2 linked regions of the Tamandua tetradactyla genome follow. The protein of the gene in region 2 purifies or fractionates together with the protein of the main gene of each other region. This does not show direct contact. Links are inferred from orthologs where the notes say so. Each region holds a gene or a part of one and is shown on either strand. Other genes may lie near its edges.

Evidence for each region. Proteins that work in one complex are often made in the same cells at the same time.
Region 1: the proteins of TAP1 (region 2) and TAPBP purify together in Homo sapiens (co-immunoprecipitation; 6 studies listed by BioGRID and IntAct, with this or other methods). This does not show direct contact. The link is inferred for Tamandua tetradactyla from reciprocal best matches to the Homo sapiens genes TAP1 and TAPBP.

The regions. Positions count from the first base shown.
Region 1 is NC_135331.1:89,244,412-89,254,459, forward strand, and holds the start of TAPBP (tapasin), read right to left. Parts: upstream 4,125-10,048; 5' UTR 3,950-4,124; coding exon of another isoform or gene 3,920-3,949; 5' UTR 3,869-3,919; coding exon 3,832-3,868; intron 3,676-3,831; coding exon 3,511-3,675; intron 3,277-3,510; coding exon 3,016-3,276; intron 1-3,015. Other genes in the region: ZBTB22 (zinc finger and BTB domain-containing protein 22), read right to left, coding at 4,821-6,784, 7,771-7,807; DAXX (death domain-associated protein 6), read right to left, coding at 8,327-8,386, 8,598-8,820, 8,997-9,468, 9,634-9,829, 9,984-10,048. UniProt on the Homo sapiens protein: Involved in the association of MHC class I with transporter associated with antigen processing (TAP) and in the assembly of MHC class I with peptide (peptide loading).
Region 2 is NC_135331.1:88,702,158-88,713,200, forward strand, and holds the start of TAP1 (antigen peptide transporter 1), read right to left. Parts: upstream 4,119-11,043; 5' UTR 4,056-4,118; coding exon 3,482-4,055; intron 2,976-3,481; coding exon 2,861-2,975; intron 2,694-2,860; coding exon 2,563-2,693; intron 1,755-2,562; coding exon 1,549-1,754; intron 1,138-1,548; coding exon 940-1,137; intron 1-939. Other genes in the region: PSMB9 (proteasome subunit beta type-9), read left to right, coding at 4,618-4,677, 6,469-6,536, 7,316-7,447, 8,110-8,239, 8,466-8,607, 9,165-9,292. UniProt on the Homo sapiens protein: ABC transporter associated with antigen processing. In complex with TAP2 mediates unidirectional translocation of peptide antigens from cytosol to endoplasmic reticulum (ER) for loading onto MHC class I (MHCI) molecules.

The DNA of each region.
Region 1 (10,048 bases), about 540 kb from region 2:
AAGAATTTTCTGATGGTTCAACATCACTTATAGGATAAAGCCCAACTTTCAAGGTATGTGATAAACTAGCCTTCACGTTTCCAGACACCTCTCACACCCTAAGAACCTGTCACATAGAATCTATTTCTTGCTCCTGCTAGAAACTCTAGTCACTGGACGTCTCTTTGCTCTGGTCCTGAGGGTCCTTCAGTCTACAATGCCCTTTTCCATTTTCCCAAACATCTAAATACTCCATGTCCTTCAGTCAGTTCTACTGCTAACTTCTTCTCCAAAATGTCTGGGTCTTCTAGGTAGAAGAAATATTCTCCTCTGATTATGCCATTTTTAATCCTAGCGTCTGAGGCCTAAAAGGTTAAGCTTTTGTCATGGAAAAATTTTAATTAGTAGAGTAAAACAGTATATAATTTCACTTGGTTTATCAAAATCCAGAGACATACTTTAGAATTGTTAAAAACAATCCACTGTAAAGGTTTTATGGTTTAACTTTTAAGCCAACAGTGATTTTTATTATGAGATATTGGAAGCAGCTTTAGACCTGCATCCCATAAGCTGTACTCTGTGAACATACAGGAGTAAAAAGAATAGTAAGGAAAGTTTCTACCTCTATTTTTGTAACTTGTATACATAGCTTTTGCTTTTCTGTGCTTTGAAAAAGTGAATGGTAGTACCTATTATATAGTAACATTGAAGTAAAAATTTGAGCCCAAATCTAATCAAGGCTCTAGATCTAACTACCAGTTTATCGGAAACATAGAGGAAAGAAGAACAAGATAAATGTCAGCAAGCAGAAAAAAACTGGCTGAATATGGAATGTGGGAAAGTCTACAGGACAAATGACTAGGTTTCCCCAACAAACAATCGCATTAGGGTGGGGGAAGAGGAGTTGTGTGAGCAATTATAGAATGAAAGAGACAAGACAAAACAACCAAATACAATATATGGTTGTTTTTGAATCCTGATTTAAGCAAATCCACTGTAAAATTACATAATTAAGACAATCAGGAAAATGTTAATATGGGCTAGAAATGTGATGATATTAAGGAATTAATGTTTGTTTTGTTAGGGGTGATGATGGTATTGTGGTTATAAATATTAAATCCTTATGTAATAGAGATGCTCAGTGGAGAATTTAAGAGTAAAATAATATGATGTCTTGGATGTACTTTAAAATACTCTGGCAAAAAAAAAAGGTGGGTGAGAATGTGAAACAATTTGGTAAAGTGTGATAACTGTATAAGCGGGTGATGAATATGTGCAGCTTCATTATAGTATTTTCTCGACTGTTATGTATCTTTGAAATTTTCCATAATGTTTTTAAAAATAGTGAGAATTAAATACTATGAACACAAGATATAAGAAAAAATAGTTGCCAACAGACATTTCAAATTGTTAACTAATTTGAAAAGAAATAATACATAAATTTTTATAGCAAAATCATCAATGGTCTATGACCTAAAAATATTCTATTTTAATTTTTACATCAAAACTTTTTTCATAGTCTTGAACGCTTAATCTAGAAACACTTGAAAAGGAAGATAAAGCACAATGACTTGTTTTTACCAACTTGGTTTTACCCCAAGTGGCCTGTGAGCTGCAGATAATCTTCCTGCCCGAGCAATTCCATGGCTCCTTAACTGCACTTGTTTCAAAGCACAAATTGCTTTCTACTTCACATGAGAATTATTACAGATCTCATCCCCCTGTAACAGCCCAGAACCTCCTTGAGAGCTGAGTCTACCTGTGATCTCCTTTGTGATTCTTAGCAGTGCCCACTGCCATCCCTGAGATTCTGATTAATTGACCTGGGGTGGGACCCGGGGCTTCAGTATGTTTTTAAAGCTTCCCAGACGACTCTAATTTTTAGCCAGGACTGAGAACTAACTGGGCCACAACTTACTCTTGGTGCCAATAAATATTTATTGAATTGGTGAATCAGATTAACACAGAAAGTGCTAGTCACAGCAACAGAAAGACAGATGGGAAATAGTATCCACATTTTACAGTTTAAAAAACAGACTTTGAGAGAAAAGGACAGTCTCACGGGGTGCTGCAGTGAAGCCTGCAGGCCCGAGATATACTCTTTCCCACTGGAGAGGGCGCTGTCCCCACAGGAGCAGCTTGGGGACTAAGAATGGAGGGGTAGTCATTCTTACTGAGGGAGGGGCACTGAGGACATTTCCATCGCCCCTGTGTCACGGGACTCTTAGTGAGAGTGGTAGGGAGTGAGTACAGTGGAAGGGAGGGAACAGGGGTTCGGTTGAGGTTGATCTGATCGCAGAGACTGAGGGAAGCCGAGGACATTACCTGTGTCCTACCCACCCTCCTGGATGCTGGGGTCAGATCTTCCCCATTCTGACACTATCCGACCATGCTATCCCCTCGTCCCAGCCCTGGGCCTCAATCCGCATTGCACAACGCAGTAAGCGGTCAGGGCAGTGGGAACCAGTGGTTCTCCCGGCCCTCTCTGGCTCCCACTGGAGTCAGCCAATAGATGACCACAGAATCTGCGCATCCTCCCGCGCCAAAGAGAAGGCCGCAGAGGTACGCCCACCTGAAAGCAAGAGCTTTTGCTTTGCTGACTGCCGCAGGCACCTCGTGTGGGTGAGGGTGCGGCTCGAAGGTGGTTTCGAAAGAGGGTGAACTTCAAGGGTGGCGGTGCCCAGCAAGATATAGATCTGGGCGGAGAGGAGAAAGAAATTCCTGCTTCTAAGCCCCTCCCAATCCAATCACCTAGCATGTTTCTCAAAGCCAGTCCTGCAAGCCCCGCCTTTCTCCAAAGTTTCGCTCCTGGGAACGCTAAGAGGCTCCGCCCCAACTTCCAGCCGAGGTCGCTACTTTTTTTCTAGATGGGAGCTAGAAGGAATGGTAGAGATACTTTATCTAATTCTAGCCGGACTGCTTCTCTTTACAAATATGGAAGCTGAGCCCGATTGGGGAAATAACTCTGTCAAGTTACCGGTACACTTGGGACCCCTGGAATCTCCCCATCCTCCTCCACCTCCCCGCTCCAGCTACCTGTGGCCGGCGTGATGAAAACAGGCTTCTTTTGAGGCTCGGGCTGTGGCCGCAGCAGGATGGAGAGGCTGAGAACAGGGCTGGACATGCTGACCATGAACCAAGTCCCATCCAGAGCTCGCGGGCAGCTCTCATCCGGGGTCAGGCCACTGGCCCAATTGGCGGAAGCAGGGAACGGGACAAAGCGGCTCATCTCGCAGTGTGGCACCGGGGCGCCTCGGGGGTACCTCCTGAAGGCTGCCTGGAGGGCCCCCGTGGGGTCTGGAAGTGCAGAGAATGGTGGGGGCGCAGCTGTAGTCGCTGCCGGGAAAGGGACAGCGAGGGCAGCGTCCGGGGAATTTGACATTAACAAACCACCCGGGTAGTGAGAGGTTAGAGGTAATCCAGACTTTCATTTTACAGAGGGGGAAACTGAGGCCCAAGGTCATCACGCTACGTAAGGAGGGTCTGGTGGAGAGAGCCTACAGACTTGGGGGCGAGTCCCCGAAGACGCACCGTGAACGTTGAGGTAGAGTTGGGGGTCGAGGTCGGACCTGGGAGGCGGTTCCTCCGGGCCTTGGCGCAGAAGCAGGGCAGCGGGTTTCTTGGCCAGGCTGCCCCCATCCTCCACGAACCAGCACTCAAGCGCGGTGGGCCCGGCCGAGACGGCGGTCGCCAGGCCTGGGGGAGAAGGACGCGAGTGAGGGGGCGGCCGGGATATAGGGTGACCGGCCCTCCCCGCCCCCCCCCCCCCACGGCCCCGGGCTCCCGGCGGGATCACTCCGCCCCACCCCACCTCACCCCATCCCTGGGCGAGGAGTCGCAGGTTTCGCTCACCCAAAGCCACAGCGAGGAGCAGGGACAGGGGCTTCATGGCGCTGCGATCTCCTCAGCCCTGAAAGCCTCCTCTTCCCCCCTTTCACTTTCACTTTCCTCTAATGGCCAGCAGGAGGGGCTGAGGAAATCCCCGCTCTGGTTAGGTGAGGAGGTGCGCGTGGCGGCGGCGCGCCCCACTCGCGGAGCAGGGATCCGGGAACATCCTCACCAGTTCTCTATCGGGCACCTCAGGCCTGCCGCGCCCTCCTGGGCCGGCCAGCAAGTTCCAGTTCCAAAACCCTCCCCTTCCCCGGGCTCCCCCCCCCCCCCCCCCCCGGGAACTTTACACCACTTTCCCCCACCTGTGCCGGATCCCCAGCAAAGACACACAGGGGTTGTTGGGAAGCCAATTGCAATGACCAATAAATATTTTAATCACCATTTTAAAAAATTAAAATAAGACCCTTGTACTCCTACGACTTACTCCCTCCTTGTGTCCACCCCCTCCCCCCTGAGAACCGAACTGGAGAGATGAGGGGAGGAGGGGAGGCGTAGAAGTAGGGGTAGAAATAAGGGTGCAACCTGGGAAACAGGAGGGATAAGTTCTAGGACAAGGGCGGGGCTCGAAGACCTGGTCCCCACAAAACACAAACACAGACTTCAGGCACACACTACAGCCTTCGGACCCCTGACCCTGTGATTCCAGGATGCTCAACATTTCCCCCTCTCTCCTCCATGCACTCCCTACTGTGGAGCTGGGGCTTCAGTAGTGTATCTATCTGAGGAAAAGAAGAGAAGAGACACCCTCCCCCGCGGGAGGGGGTGAGTGGAGCTGAGGAATGGAATGGTCTGTAGACTGTGCTACTTGGTTCCTCCTCTCAAGTATATACAAGTCCAGAGAGATTAGGAAGACATTGCGTGTGATGGGAGAGCTCTCCGGGGCCAAATGCCCCCGAATTGTGTTCCCTATTCACTCTTCCCTTAAAGCTACCCTTAGTAGCTCTGCCCTCTCAGTTTGCCCCTCCGCCCCCACTAAAGCCCATTTCCACCTTGTGGACGCCAGATGGGGACCAGACCCTTCGGTTGGGCGGGGGCGTGGCTCCACTCGCCTCGTCTCCGCTGCCCCGGCCAGCTCCGGGGGACTCTCGCTTGGGCAGTACTGTGGGCCCCGTGGGCGCCCCGGGCCCCGCCCCGGCCCCACCCAGGCGGTGCCGGCGCTCACAGTGTCCCCGGTGGCGCATGAAGCTGTCTCGCCACATGAACTTCTTGGCGCAGACGCTGCACTCGTAGGGCTTGAGGCCTGTGTGTGTCTTCATGTGTTCCGTCAGGTGGTGCTTCATCTTGAACTTCTTGTTGCACACGGGGCAGTCAAATGGCCGCAGGTTGAGGTGCATGTTGACGTGCCGGTCCCGCATGCTCTTGTGCGAGAAGGCCTTCCCGCAGTGGCATAGAAAGATCTTATTCCCGTCTCCACCACCTGTCCCCCCAGGGGCCCCGCCAGTGCTCCCGGGCACACTTAGGCTCCCTGCCGTGCCCCCTAGGGTCACTGCCCCATGCTCAGCCTGGTTCCCCTGTGGGGGGCCTGGAGCCTGGGAGGAGGAGGAGGAGGTGGAGGAGGAAGATGGGAAGACCAGGATCTGGTTGCTCTGCATGTCCAGGGGAAGCAGGGGCCGTGGAGGGTGGGAGGGGGTGTAGGAGGAGGGGGTTGGCCCCCCTGAGTCATCCAGGCCTGCCCCAGGACCCCCACCCTCAAAAGGGCCATAGTCATTTGAAGACTCACAGAAGTTGACCTGCTCCTCCCCCTTATCTGGAGGCTCAGTCAGGGTCCTGACATCACTTATGCTAAGGGTAGCCTCAGGTCCTCCCCCCGCTGGGACCACTGAGCCACCCCCTAGCTCTTCATCTTCATCATCCTCACAGGTTAACACCAGGTCTTCCTCCTCCTCATCCTCCTCCAGGTCTGGGTCTTGGGGAACTAGGGGTGCTGGTGCGGGGCAGTTTCCACCCCGCTTCACATATACCCAGTGTTTCTGTGGCATGATGCTGGGTGGGGTGTATGTGGGACGCCGGAGTCCAGCCCCAGGGACCACTGCCCCCCTGCCATCCCCACCATCATCACACAGCTCATCAGCTTCCAGTAGCAGCTTCCCAGATGTGGCCCCCCCACTGCCAACCACAGGGGCTGGAAATACAGGGCCACCTCCACGCCGCTCCCCACTGCCCACTGCAGAAGCTGTAAAGGCCTCTTGAGAAGAAGAGAAATCAGTGGATTCGCGGGGACTGAAGTAATTGCTGCTGCTGGGGGACTGGTTCTCACTAGCACGGCTGGAAGCATGAGAGCGCACAGAGCCTACGGTGGCAGGTGCCATGGTGCCCCCACTTCCTGCCGGGCCCCCAGCAACAGGGACAGTGACCGAGGTGGCTGCAGCAGTGGTGATGGTGGCAGTGCCTGAGGCTCGGCCTTCGCGGAGGAGCTCAGTGCACTTGTCTACGATGTGCCACATTTGGAGCACAGACCCCACTGTGAGGAAGTTGACAATGTCGGCAGCAGCCATGCTGAGGCGGCCAGTGTAAGCTGAGGCCAGGACAGTCTCGAAGGCGCCTGGATCCATGACGTTGGGCAGCGAGATAGAGGTCATGCCCTTCAGCAGGACCTGGTCGTGGAAGTAAGGGGAGGAGGCCGCAAGGACAGCACGATGAGCCCGGAACTCCCGGCCCTGCACGCGGATGGACACATCGCACAGCTGCCCCTGCAGCCGCTGCTGATTGAGGGACTCCAAGAGGGCACTGGTCACCTCAGGAAAGGACACATGTACCACTGCAGCTGCTGGTAGGGGCAGTGGGGGTGGGGCCAGCGATAGGGGCAAGGGGAGTGCTGCCCCGCTGGGAGAGAGGGGAGATGGCTCCATGGTGAAGAGGGGGTACCCCCCCAGCCACAGGAACAAGGGAAGGAGGAGGGCGGCCGGGGGGGTCTCTGGGGAAAAAAAGAGAGAAGAATAACGATAGCATCTCATAACTACTACACAGTCCCTTAGTTTACAAACATGTTCAAACCCATTTTCTGAGTAACTTCCCACAGCATTGTAAGATCAGTATTTCTCTCAACCTCATTTGACAGATGAGAGCACAGGCTCGGAAAGATTAAGCAACTATTCAAGGTCATGCAGCCAGTAAGTGCCAATATCAGCAAATACAGGTCTCCTGACTCCAAATTCAGTGCTCTTTACTTGGTGTTAAAGAAATAAGGCACTTTAGTCTTTCGAAGGGTGCTTCCCCTCAAAATTACACCCTGTTTTCCATTTGTCTGAGTGACATTCCAAAATCTACCTCTTGGGTCTTTTGCACCCTGTTCTTGGGAAGGGGCAGGTCTGCTCTGGTACTGAAAACCATCCTTCTCTCTGCCCCCGGCTCTCTCGCGACCACGCCCCATTTGCCCCCAGTTTACGCCTAGCCACGCCCCCTGGAGGACCCACCCATGCCCCGCCCCTCGGTCCTTTCGACCACGCCTCTTGCTTACCCCCGCCCACAAGGACCCCGCCCCCTTCCGCTCCGCCCCAAGCGCTAACTCGGTCTTCTCTCCCACCCGGAAGGCGCCCCCCAACCCCGCGCGTCCCCGCTTACCGGGCCGCGCGCCCCCGGGCCCCCCCGCCCCTCACTCGGCGACCAGAGCCGCAGCCTGAGCCCCTCCCGCCGCCATCTTGCGCCGACTCCCTCCGCCCTCCGCCCCCGCTCCGCCTCCCGCCCCTCTAACTTTAAAGGCACAGGCGGGCACCCCACCCGTGCTGCTAGGCAATAGTCTGCCGACTCGGCCACTTCTCCTTTAAAGAATCATCGCCTCATTCTACGTTAAAGGTATCAGGTTCCTTCCTCCGCTGAGGACTCAGGACTTAGTTTGGCCAAAGCATTCATTCCCCTTTAATTCTGTAAGCCTGCCTCTTCCCATTGGCGGTGAGTACTGACCATCGCTAGCCAGGCTCCGCCCCTGAGCGGTGGCCATTAGTAGGTTTCCGAGGTCTAATAGCCCTCGCCCTCCAGTTTCTGACAGTTCCCTCTGAAGTCCCGCCCTCTTCCTCCCAGCCTGGATTGGCCAAGTAACCTTGAGCCGGCCTCTGATTGGCCTTTTTACTACGACCGCTCGAAGTGAAAAATAAATGCGTATTAAGGAGGCTGAAGTATGTTTTTTGGTGCCTGTCAGCGGGCTGTGGGCGCAGGGATGGTCGCAGCGCAAGGGGCAATTTCGGGGCTACTCCGGGGTTGGGCTAACTCTGAGCCGGGAGTAGGTGTGACGGAAGCGGGTGCCAATCTGTGACAGTACATATTCAAGGAAGACAGGGATACAGTAAGAAAAGAATTTTATTGTTTATTAATGTTTCTGTGTAAAACTTAAGCTTTTGTTTTTCTTAAAGAAACATCACCAAAAGGGGATTAGCTTAGTCCATTCCTTCCAGTCATCTACTGCCCATCATCCTCCAAATGCTATCTCTAAACATTTTGGAGTTGGAGAGAGGGGGACCAGCTAATCAGAGTCTGAGAGCACGATAATCTCCTCTGGATCACACTGTGTGGCCACACTCATCTGCAAGGGAGTGAGAGACAAAGGTGCAAGTGTCAGAACGGTTGGGGGAGTAGGGGTAGGAGAAGCAGAGGGAAAAACTTAGATTAAAAAAAAGAAAAGTTAGGGATGGGGAAAAAAAAGGAGGATGTGGAGGGTGCAATATTCACATTGGCTGAAACTGAACAATGAAAGAGAATGAACTGTTGGAGGCAAAATAGCCTCCCCCTCTTACCTTGTAAGTACTAGGGTGGGGGACTTGTGATTGGGAGGTTTGGGACAGCAAGGCTGGAGAAGGACTGCAGAGGGAGCTGGTCACCAGACCGTGGCTGGGAGAGTCCACCCTTGTCGAGGAATCAGCAACTGGGACCATGGAAGCCAAGGGGGAAGGTGGGCTGGGCAAAGTACATATCCTCTTCCCATTCTTCTCATGCACTGCTCTTTGCCTTTCCACATAGCTGGGGACAGAAACATAAATGTGTGGAAGGGTATGGGGAACGTGAATCTGGAGGTGGGGTAAGGCAGGAGAGCGGTGTATGATTTGACTCCCAGCAGACTCAGTTCCCCAACATTCCTCTCAGAAAGCCCCCTGCAATCCCTCCTTGGTTTCCCTCTTCCTCCTCCTAATTGTTACCTGTCTCTTAATGGCCCTGACCCTGTTTGCTCCTTCTCCTTCCGAGATTTCTTGCAGGGGGGGCTGGAATCTCCCCAGGTGTGAGGAGAGACACCTCCATTGAAGGAAGTGGAGGTGACCATGGCTGCCCCATTCTCCAAGACAGTGGTCAAGGGGTCCTCTGACTGCTTCCTGGAAATGTCCCTTTCTTCAGGGGAAGGGGTGGTATCCAGGGGCAAGGCCTCAATCTCTAGCTCAAAGAGCTGAGACATAGGGCTCTCTTCCTCCAGGGGCAACTCCTCAGGCTGTTCTCCATTGCTTTCCACATCTATGCTGGAGGGGCCCAGGGGCTCTTCTGACAGTGAAGATGGAGACACTGTGAGTCCTCTGTTTTGCTGTGCCCCTGAAGACCTGCTGATCCCTTTGCCAGGTTCCATGTTCTGTTCAATGGAGATCTGTGGTGGGGACACGGGGCTTTTGTCTCCATCCTTACCTAAGAAAGAAGAAAAGAGGAAGAATGACATGAGACCTAAGTGAAATAATACTGCTGAGGGGGTGCTAGGGGAAAAGAGGAGGAAGGGAAGGGTCTCAAACAGATAGCTTATGGCCAATAGAGTAGAGGAAACTAACATTTGGCGAGAATGTTTCCCTAACATACCTGTTTCCTCCTCCTCCTCCTCTTCATCATCCCCCTGACCTTCCTGCATCTGTTCCAGATCCTCCTCTTCAGAATCTGTAACCTCCTCCTCTTCTTCCTCTTCTTCCATCTCTTCATCACTTTCCTCATCTTCTTCCTCATCTGTCTCAGCCTTGGAGGTGGTAGGGCACTCCTGGGATGCTATTCCACTAGGGCCCTGGGGACGAAGGAGTTTCTCTAAGGAATCACTTGCCCCAGAGGTTCCAGTCTTTGATTTCCTTCTGCACTTTACCCCATCAATCACCCTGGACTTCTGGGTGGCTAGTACAAGGGTGGCTATAGCCTCTCTGGAGGGAATGTCCCTCCCATACCTCGCCAGAATCCAAGGAGGGTTTGGGGGAGTCTGCAGAGTGGGAAGAAGCGCCTTGGGGAAGCC
Region 2 (11,043 bases):
AAATCCTAGAATGAGCTGAGACTCAGCATCAAGGGATTGAGAAAACCTTCTCCACCAAAAGGGGGAAGAGTGAAATGAGACAAAGTGTCAATGGCTGAGGGATTCCAAACAGAGTGAGAGGTTATCCTGGAGGTTATTCTTACACATTAAGTAGATATCACCTTGCTATTCAAGATGTAATGCAGAGGCTGGAGGGAACTGCCTGAAAATGTGGGGCTGTGTTCCAGTAGCCATGTTTCTTGAAGATGATTGTATAATGGTGTAGCTTTCACAGTGTGACTGTGTGATTGTGAAAACCTTGTGTCTGATGCTTCTTTTATCTACCTTGTCAACAGACGAGTGGAACATATGGAATAAAAATAAATAATTGAATAAAAATAAGCAGTGGGGAAACAAATGTTAAAATAAATTTAGTTTGAAATGCTAGTGATCACTGAAAGAGAGGGGTAAGGGGTATGGTATGTATAATCTTTTTTTTTCTGTTTTCATTTTATTTCTTTTTCTGTTGTCTTTATTTCTTTTTCTGAATTGATGCAAATGTTCTAAGAAATGATCATGATGATGAATATGCAACTATGTGATGATACTGTGAATTACTGATTATATATGTAGAACAGAATGATCACATGTTAAGAATGTTTGTGTTTCTTTCTTGTCATATTTTTTAAATTTAAAAATTAATTTAAAATTATTTTAAAAAAAAGAGGATGTTGGGAGAATTTTGTGTGGCACAGTGAATGAAAGCTATCTAGAACCCCTAAAAAAAGGGAAGGGTTTAGGGACCTTGGGAAGGGAAATTGAGGCTCAGGTTGCCCAGATGATAATACTGTACCAACCATTTCCCAGTGGAGGCAGAGTTGAGAAAAGGGTCATGACAAAGGGAATGGAGTCAAGGCATCTCGGGGACAAGAGAATGGGCATCCATTTCCAGGTGCTCACATTGGTGGTCCAGTAGTTAACCGCATAGGCCAGCGACTCCTGTTGGCTGAGTCTCTTCATTTCCTGCAGCTTTTGTTGAAACCTCCGGGCCTCTCCCTCCTCGTTGGCAAAGCTCCGGACTGTAGGCATTGCTGACAGTGCCTCAATGGCCACCTGGCTGGACTCTGCCAGGGATTTCTGCATCTGTACTGCCAGCAACTGTGGATGCACAGAGAGGGTTGGTAAGAAATAGGGTTCATTAGTACCTGAGTTACTGGTTGGAGACTAAAGGTGAGAAGAGGCAAAGGAATAAGAGAGAAGAGGGAAAAGAAAAGGATACAACTATGCTAGAGCGATATAAGGGAGAGGAAAAGGACTCATCAAAAAGTTGGGAATCATATTCTTAAAGACAGATTTTTGGGTAAAAGTCAGGAGAAAAGATACAGGGAGTATGAAGATCAAGGAAGAGCAATCTAGAAAAATGGGACTGCAGGAACAGGGAGTTCCATGAAGGCGGGGAATTATGAGGGTACCAAGAAAGTTGAATGTAAAGAAATCCAAGAGGAAATGAATCTGCCAAATCTGGGAGGTAAAGGGTCCGTGTAGGTTAAGCCAACTCCATGAACATACCTGGTACCACTTTCCCAGCTTCTTAGGCAGAAGGAAAAGCAGAGGCAGGGCAACCAGGGTGATCATGGTGAGGGACACTGACCCCCAGAGCATGAACCCGAAGAGGCACAGCCCCCGTACGAGGTACCACAGCAACAGGCTCAGCTGCTCACTCAGAGACTCACTCACGGTGGCTGTGTCCTCTGTAACCCGAGATGTGATGGCACCTGCCAGGGGTTGGGGAGAAGAGCATAGAGTGAATGCAATGGGTTCAGAGTGATGAGAAAGACTAACAATGAGCCAGGATGCCATGAGTGGGGGTATCAACACAGTGTTCTAGGGAAAAACAAGGTTGGATGGGTGTATGGAGGGATTCGGGAATCTCATTGCAGGCAGAAGGAGTGTAATAGCTATGAAGGGGCTGTGAAAACCTGCCAAAGATCTTCATTTTAACTATGAGAAAATTAGCACCATGTGAAGTTCTATTTTTCGGAAAGCTTCCTGTTCCTTAAAGAACTTGTATATCCCAAACTCTACATAAAGGCAAGAAGAGCCTAAGCTGGTTGTGTAATAGCAATGGAGAAGGGAGAATGCTGCTAGGAGGCAATCCAGGAGGCTCTAATGAGCACAGCACTAGGCATTAAAAGGCTGGGGTTCAACCTGCAAGTTTGTCTTGATCCATATGTGACTACAAAAGTTTCAGCATTTTGGATCTAAACTTCAGTTTCTTTCTCTGGAAAGTGAGGTAGTTGGACTCCAGGATGTCAAAATTTTCAAATAGTTTCTAAGGACATAATGAAAGTCTGAAATTTATATCTAAGGACAGAGAGGTACAGATTTATGGGAAAATCCTGGAGAAGGAACTAGGTTTTTCTGAAGGTAAAGAGAAGAATATTTTGCTCCAACTTGAGATACATCAAGAGTAAGAAATGACAATGTGTGCATATAAGAGAGGTATCACGTTTCTAAGTAAAAGAGAATGCATTGGGGACAGAAAGAGTACATGAACATATAGCGAAAGAGTTTCGTGAAAACCTGTTTGGTTCTGTTGGAAAAACTCTGTCTCCTGCCGCAGGACAGCCTGAAACACGTTTCCGTGCAAGTGGCTATGCACACGGCCCATGGTGTAGTTATACATTCCATCCCCTGCAAATTCCAGCAGTGCGCTAGGGGCAGAGGAGAAGGAAGGTCAGGTGGGGTGCTGGGAGGATGCAGAAGGAAGGTCCCAGGTACCCCCCACAGATGCTATGCACTTTGGACAGCAGGCCCCAATTTCCAGCTCCCTCTTTTCTGGGATCCCCCATTCTGAGCCATCCATCTTCAGCCCCCAGACCTGGCTATGGTGAGAGCAGACATAAGAGTTATGTTGTAGGTGAAGGCAGCAGCTACTTTATCTTGTAGGATCCAGTCAGTGAGACGACCAGTGTAGAACGGGATGGCCATTTCCCCTGGGGTAGGAGAGGAAAGACCGGTCAGTCACAGACACTAAGTCTAAGCAGGGCACCTCTGACCAGACTATCCCTCATTCCACCCCTCAGCTGCCCTTATCCTTATTCCTAACAGTAGAAGCAGAAAGAAGACACTGAGGTCATAATCCCCTACCTGAGGAGACTGCCCTGGGTCTCCCGGCCCTATGTTTGCTCCACCAGACTTTCCAGGGTTTAACTAGAAAGGCTAGAGATGGAGTAAAATACCCTCCTCTTGCTGCCCAAGAGGAAAGGTCTTGCCCAATGTGGCCCAAAGAAGTGGCGCCTGGGACAGGACTGGAGACCCGGGCTTGAGCCCACCCAGTCCAATGCACTTTTCTCCAGACGGGAGTGGTCACCTCGAGACCTCAGCTGGGTCACCAGATGCACATTTCCCATAACACTACCACCACCCATCTCATGACCATTACACTTGCTTCCTGACTAACCACCTGCATCCTCCCGGTCTCCACCTGCGTCCCTCTTACCGAGACAGGAGAGGATCAACAAAACCAGAAAGAGCGAAAAGGTATGTATCTCTGGGCTCAGACAAGCGAGAAGCCGAAGCACCGCGTCTCCAGAGCCGCTAGGCCAGAAGGACACCCGAAGTTTGTGCCACAGGGCGGCCGCGAGCAGCGCTGCAACATAGCTGATGATGAAGACATCGGCGCGACCTGCCCAGTGCAGCAGCCCGGAGCTGCCTGCATCCCTCGGGACACCCCACAAGCCCAGCGCACGAAAGGAGGCAAGTCCCGGAAGTGCCAAACCCAGTGCCACTGCCAGAGGCTCCAAAGCTTCCAGCCAGCTCTGGACTCCTGTGCTTTCCCTATCGGAGACTCTGGTCTTGAGAACCCCGCGGGCCCCCAGCCACAGAACGGCCCAGCGGCTCAGGCCCACCCCCCAGACCCGCAGCAGCGGCAGCGCGGTGGGAAACAGCAGAGTGAATATCCCGGGCAGCGCGGGCCGGAGCAGTAGACAGTCGGCGAGAAGCAGCAGCGTCGCCCCCAGCCACGCGCAGGAGGCCCGGCACGCGCGGGGAGCCCGGGACTCTGAGCCGGCCATCGGCTCGCGGCTGCTGTCCCGGGTTCCCTTCGGGAGCCTGCGGGTCTCGCCTGCGTCTGTAACCTAGCATGCGCCGGGGCTGACGGCCGGAGGCGGGAGCAGGGGCGGGCCGGGGCGGAACTCTGGGAAAGTCCCCGGTCTTGCTACCAAGAATTGTAGCCGTTTAGGGGAAAGGGAAATCGAAAGCGGCAGCCGGCTCTCTTGTACCGCCCACTTCCAAATGGGGCTGGCCAGACTATCTGGATATCAATTCTAAGATTCTAGGGAGCGGCACCGTTGTCCCCATCTGCTCCATCACGCACATCTTTCGCTCCTCTCCCGGTCTTTTCCTGCGGGACGCACTTGCTAGAACTTTCTCATCCAAGTCTCAGAGCGGGGCCCTTTCGTCATCTGTCTCTGGGCAGATCTGCCCCACACAGGTTTGCGTCCCCGCTTCCAGCCTGACAGCGAGGGCGCAGACGCCCCCTGGTGGGCGCGGTGAAGGGGCGGGGCTCTAGGCTGCGCGCCGCGCGCTGTCCCAGGTCAGAAAACCAGAGCCCCAGGCAGCGAGGAGGCAGCCGGGATGTTGCGGGCGGGAGCGCCGAGTCTGGACTTACCCCGGACCGGAGAAGTTCATACCGGGGTAATGGGTCTGGGGTTGAGGGTTATCAGAGAGTCGGAGAAGGTGGAATGATAAGGAGACCCTGGGAGCGCTGAGGAGTGTGTGCGGAGACTAACAGAAATGTGGGGAAGTGGCTTGTAGCAGCTAGGGCTTGCTTGCATCCCGCAGTGAACTTAAGGCATCTCTATTCTGAAGAAGGTCTTCTAGGGGGCCGCGAAGGGCCTGGGCATTCGAGGCATTAGAGTAGGGGGCGGTGTTTTGGCTCTTAGCTGGAAGCGTCAAGGGGAAGCTGCTCTAAAAAGCTTTCACTTTCACTCTGGGGTGGACAAGGTGGGTGGTTAATTCAAAAACGGGGGCTAGAGGCGATGCAAAGAGATGAGGAGACGGTGCCCTAAATGAAGTTGGACTACACTTAGGAAGAGGGTATAAGGTCACTGATTGAGCAGGATCAGCTCACCGCAGAGACGGGTGATAATAGCCCAAGCACTGATTACGGGGGTTCTGTGGGACCTGGTGGTGCTTTTCCCTACCTTGGCTCAGGAAGGTTCCTGCTTGTTCCAGGTGTTGCCAGTTCCCTTCCCTGACTCTTCCCTCCCCACTCCCACATGCCTGCTGGGAGACTGCCCAGGCTGGGTGCCTGGGACATATGGCAACCCCAAGGCTGACTGGTCTCTACTCCCAGACTGCTGCCTCCATTCCAGGTTTGCAGACAGCTCTGTTATAGAGTAATCTCTAGGATGGGGTTGCACCAGTTCTCTGGCCAAATGCATGGTGAACTGTTGTACCAGAGTAAGGTATAACAGTGAGGAAAATCGCAGTAAAACCATTTGCAAGTTAGAAAATCTCCCTTCACTGCCGCACGAGCAATGGAAAGTAGGAAGTAGAAGTCAGACTTCATAGGAGTTAGACCTGGGTTTTAGTTCCAGCTCTGCTAGTGATTCAGTGTGACCTTGGTGTCACTTACCTGCTCTATGACTCAGTTTCTTCCTTTGATCATTAAGACTCCTTCCAATTCAAGGAGTAGAGAAAGTGTAGCTTTATCCCTCATCACTGTTCCTTAATTCTTTTCTTTTTTTTCTTAATTCTTTTCTTGACCTAGAAAAAAATCAGCCCAGACAGCCTGATCCAATCCTCTCCCAGTACACATCTTACTCTTACTGCCTGAAAGATCTACTTACCTCCTAGATCAGAAACTCAAGCAAAACTTATTTTAAACTTCTTATGCGAAACTTCCTTGCTTTCCTCCTGCCCTGATACCTGGCTCCGCTAACTACTGACCAGCTCAATGTTTTACATTGTTCAGTACACTGAAAAAATTCATTTCTGATTAAATGGGGATGAGAATGGAGGATTCTGGGCAAACAAACTTGACCTTGATTCCCAGATTCCTAGATTCTTGCCAAGTTACCTGCACCCATTGGAACATATAATAAGCTTGTGCAGTAGAGAAAATTCACTTGTGGGACTACTTATGTGCCCTCGAACCCTTCCCTCCAAGGGAGTACTTCTACCTCAAGGAGGCTCTTTCCCCATCTCTCTTTAGAAAGGAAAGGATTTCACCAAGAAAGTTGGGACTTAGGGTTGTGGTTCTTTATTTGTTGTATCAAGGCTGTGCTGTGGCGTTCCCTTGAAGTGGGATAAGGCAATAGAGAAGTGGAAAGATGGAGAAAAGACCTTGTACTGGGGTCTGCCCTGGCCTGTATTACTGTATGACCTTGAGCCAGTCGCCTCTCCTCTCCGGCAGGGTCTCCTCACCTGTAGTACGGAGGTCAGAACTTCCTGCTCTGAAGTCCGTTCTCTGTGTCTCTGCAGACGACCATCATGGCAGTGGAGTTTGATGGGGGCGTGGTAGTGGGCTCTGATTCTCGGGTGTCTGCAGGGTGAGTATCCGTGAAACTATAAGGATTTGGAAGGAACTAATGGCACCAAATACGTATTTTTCTTACTCATTCATGAACAAAAAACTGGTGAACTGGAGCTTTGGAAAAATGGACCAGACCATTCAGAAAGGACAGGCCACTATAATAAGATATTGGGTAGGTGCTTGGGTCTCTCAGTTTATGAAGGAAGGACATGGGATCTGGATGCTTATGTGGCCTGTTCCTGTAGTATAAGGGGGTGGAGTGTAAAGGAACAGAGTCTTAGAGGGAGACAAGAGATAGAAATTTGAGGGTCCCTCCTTCCATCTCTATTTAGGGATAGAAGAGATGATTCTGCCGAGCAGATATTCTGATTTCTCATTTATCAACTATTAAGCTAATTTTGTCCCTACTCTCCCTTCCTGGCCAGAATTCCTTCACATGCAATATCAGTATATGGGATTAGATCAATATTACATTTGTTGTGTTCCATTACATTTCTCAAGATGATGAATAGCAAAAAAAAAAAAATTGTTGAGGTACATTTCTCTTACCTTCTTAACTTAGGGTTATTTTTCTGTAATAAAATCTAAACCTGAAAAATAAATCTAACTCTGACTAATTCTTGCACCAATGCATTTATCCATGAGACTGTTTTAGCTTTCTGCTTTAATCCAAGCATTGAATTTTATGCACTCCATGACTGTTCTCTTGTCAAATAAATTTGAGAAGCACTCATTGATTGACCTTACCAATTCCTGCCAACTCTAACATTGATGACTGCTCTTCCTTCCTGACAGAGAGGCAGTGGTGAACCGAGTGTTTGACAAGCTCACCCCTCTACACCAGCGCATCTACTGTGCCCTCTCTGGCTCAGCTGCTGATGCCCAGGCCGTGGCAGACATGGCCTCCTACCAGCTGGAACTCCATGGGTAGGAATTTCCACTGGCCATGAGCTCCTGACCCCACGCTTACTGGAGCTCCTCCAACCCCATGAAGTTCTATGTGAGGCTCTGTTCCAGGCACATTGAGTTAGGAAATGGGAAATTCTTATTTGGGTTCCTGCTTTCATTAGCTTTGAACTGGCGTGCTTGAATCTCTATAAGCCAGTTTCGGTACCTGTAAAATGCAGATACTAGTACCTACCCTCACATCATGGCTATTTTGATAATAAAATGATATATATGAAAGCCATTTGAAAACTGTAAATCACTACACTGATATAAATAATAAGGAAGAAAATGATCACGTGGCCCACCATAATCTCGATCAAAGTTAATGTATGAGAAATCAAGGCCATTCAAGCAGAAATAAAGCTTATCTGCCTTTCCATACAAGGTCAGGGTCCTTGTAGACAAAGGACAATTAAGTAATTGGAGGTAGGGTGGGGCAGGGAGAAGACCACAGAAAGCTCCTTATAAATTGGTGACATGAAACCCTGGTTGAAACCCTGGTTGCCCTGTACGTGTGGAAGGGAAGCTGGAATTTGAACTAATATAAGTATTATAGGTCATTTGGCAGGTATAGTGGTAATAGCACCAGAGGCCGGGACTTGAGGAGATTATGAGACCCCTACGCCTAATATCTCCGTCAGGTTGGAACTGGAGGACTCTCCCCTCGTTCTGGCTGCTGCAAACGTGGTGAAGAATATCACCTATAAGTATCGGGAGGATCTCTCTGCACATCTCATGATAGCTGGCTGGGACCAACGTGAAGGGGGCCAGGTGAGTGTCTCCTAACTTGCCCCCTCCCCAAGGGTTCCACCCTTCTGTATGGAACAAGATGGTAGGCATATGTCATTCTAGCAATGAGTTTCAAAGGACAGAGTCTCAACTATTGGGCTGTGAGATACCAGAGCTTTACTGCAGAATGGGGAGGCCATCTGCTTGTCTCAGTGCGAAGGGGAAGGTTGATGACTCTTTAGTCTGACCTGAGGACGCCCCCACCTAGGTATATGGAACTCTGGGAGGAATGCTGACGCGACAGCCCTTCGCCATTGGTGGCTCCGGCAGCACCTACATTTACGGTTATGTGGATGCAGCATATAAACCAGGCATGTCCCCTGAGGAGTGCAGACGCTTCACTACAGATGGTAAATCAACAAGTGGAAGGGAACCTGGGAAGGGATTTTTAAACATGAGAAAGAAGTGAATTAATGAGGAACAGGAAGTGGAATACATGAGTGACCATTTATTTAATTTAATATCCAAACTGGAACACTTTTGAGAGTGAAAGGGGGCAGGAGAAATGCTAAACTAGATAGAACTTCAGGCCAATAGGAATAAACCAGGATAGTCCTGAGTGAACCAAATCATGCAGTATGGTCATGGTAAGAACCGAGAGTATGCTGGCGCTGGCTTGGACCAACTCATGAGAGCCGATTATTAAATCTACAGGTATTTTGTAAGCTGCTTGTTAAACTTGACATTGATCATGGTGGGGTATTTATACCACGCACATCAGCAGATGGTACAGATCAAGACCTTTTTTTCCAGCTGGTTTACCAGCACACCACTAAATATGTCCCTCTGAGACATGGGTTTTGAGGTCTGGAAGTGCTAATAGGCACATCAACAGGAGGGGAAGGAAAAGATTGTTGAAGCTAAGCCGTTTTCTCTCTCCCTCTCTCCAACTTGAAACCCTATGCAGCTATCGCTCTGGCCATGGGCCGGGATGGCTCCAGTGGGGGTGTCATCTACCTGGTCACAATCACAGCTGCTGGTGTGGACCATCGAGTCATCTTGGGCAATGAGCTGCCAAAGTTCTATGATGAATGAATCTACTCAGACTTTGCTTCCATATTTTGTAATAAACATTCTAAGACCAAAACCTGGTATGGTCAACGGGAACTGGGCATTCAACTGGATGAAGCTTATTAGGGAGGGAGAGTCTTCCCTTCCAGGTGCCAGCATACCCTTTTTGTTCTTTTGTCCCCAGGTCTAAAACATCCTTCCCAGAAGAAGGGGTTTGGAGATAGGGTGGGGGACGTACTAGAACTGGAAAGAGCCCTATGCTCAGGTCATCATGTACTGAGTGATTTTGAAATATTAGAAGCAATTAAAAATTCATTCTGATGCCTAACGGTACAAGTGAAGAGTTGGAACTCATTCTTTTAAGAGCTAAAGCTAATGAGTGTACAAGACAACTTCACACGGGAGAATCAGCTAATAGCTCCAGCAAACTCATACAAAAGAATTCCCTTCATAACACATTCATTCACATGAAAGACCAATACATGATAAATACTTAAATATTTAGGGGGTGCTTTTGGATTTGAAAGATTAATAGCAATAACAATAAAAGACCTGTGTTTATTGAGCCAGGCATTTGTTCAGCACTTTAAAAACATCAGCTCTTTGAATCCAAACAAAAGCCCTATATAGGTACTACTATCATTATTATTCTCTTTATTAGAGAAGTTGAGCATTTACAGAACAAATGTGCACAAAATACAGGATTCCCATACACCATCCACTACCAATCCCTTGCATTGAGGTGGAACTTTTGTAACAATTGATGATAGCATATTTTTGTAATGTACTATTTACTAAAGTCCATGGTTTACCTTAGGGTCCACTGTTTGTGTAGTGTAACTCCATGGATTTTTTTTAAATTTTTAATCTGTTGTATATATACAATCTAACATTTCCCCTTTTAATCATATTTGGATATTTATTTCAGTGCTATTAACTGCATTCACAATGTTATGCTACTGTGAAGGTTAGGCTATGGTATAAACTGGACCAGGTGATGATGCCCAGTTGTCTGGCCAAGCAAGCACTGGTCTGACTGTTGCTGCAAGGATATTTCATGGTTGACTGATAAACTGGAAGGCTGGTGTGTTAAATCATCAGTCAGTTGGTTACATCTGTGGCTGATTACATCTGCTATCAACTAAGGCATGTTTCCTACAACAAGATAATCCAATCAGTCGAAGGCTAACAAGCCTTCCCTGTGGAGTTCATCCAGACTCTTCATTGTAACCACCAGTTTCATAGCCTGCCTTGTGAATTTTGGACTCTTCCATTCCCACAGTTGCATGACACACCTTTATAAATCTCATACTTACAGATCTCTTCTGTTGGTTCTGTTTCTCCAGAGAACCCTGACTAATACAGCTACCATCACCACGATCCATTTCCATCATTCCAAATAGGAACCCTGTACATTTTAGGTTAAGGCTTCAAAGGGTCCTATTATTATTTTTGTCTAAGGACAGATGGAGGCTTAGAAAGATTAAGTCACTTGACAGAAGCCACACAGCAAGTTCAGAGCTGGGAGCTGATATTTGGCTTTATCAAATGCCCTTCCCCTACCCCTACATAAACTCTCCATCCCCTCAAGCTCAGGTTTTGTCATCTCCAACTTGAATTCTGCACTGTTAGCCCAGCCTACTCTAGTTACAGCCTTCTCTGACCAGAAGAAAACCTAATCAGCACTTAAATGCAGTGCTCCACACCCAGACTTTTGACAGTCCTGTCCCCTGTCCCTCTTGGCTCTTTCATGTGAGTGTGTCTTGTCTCCTGAC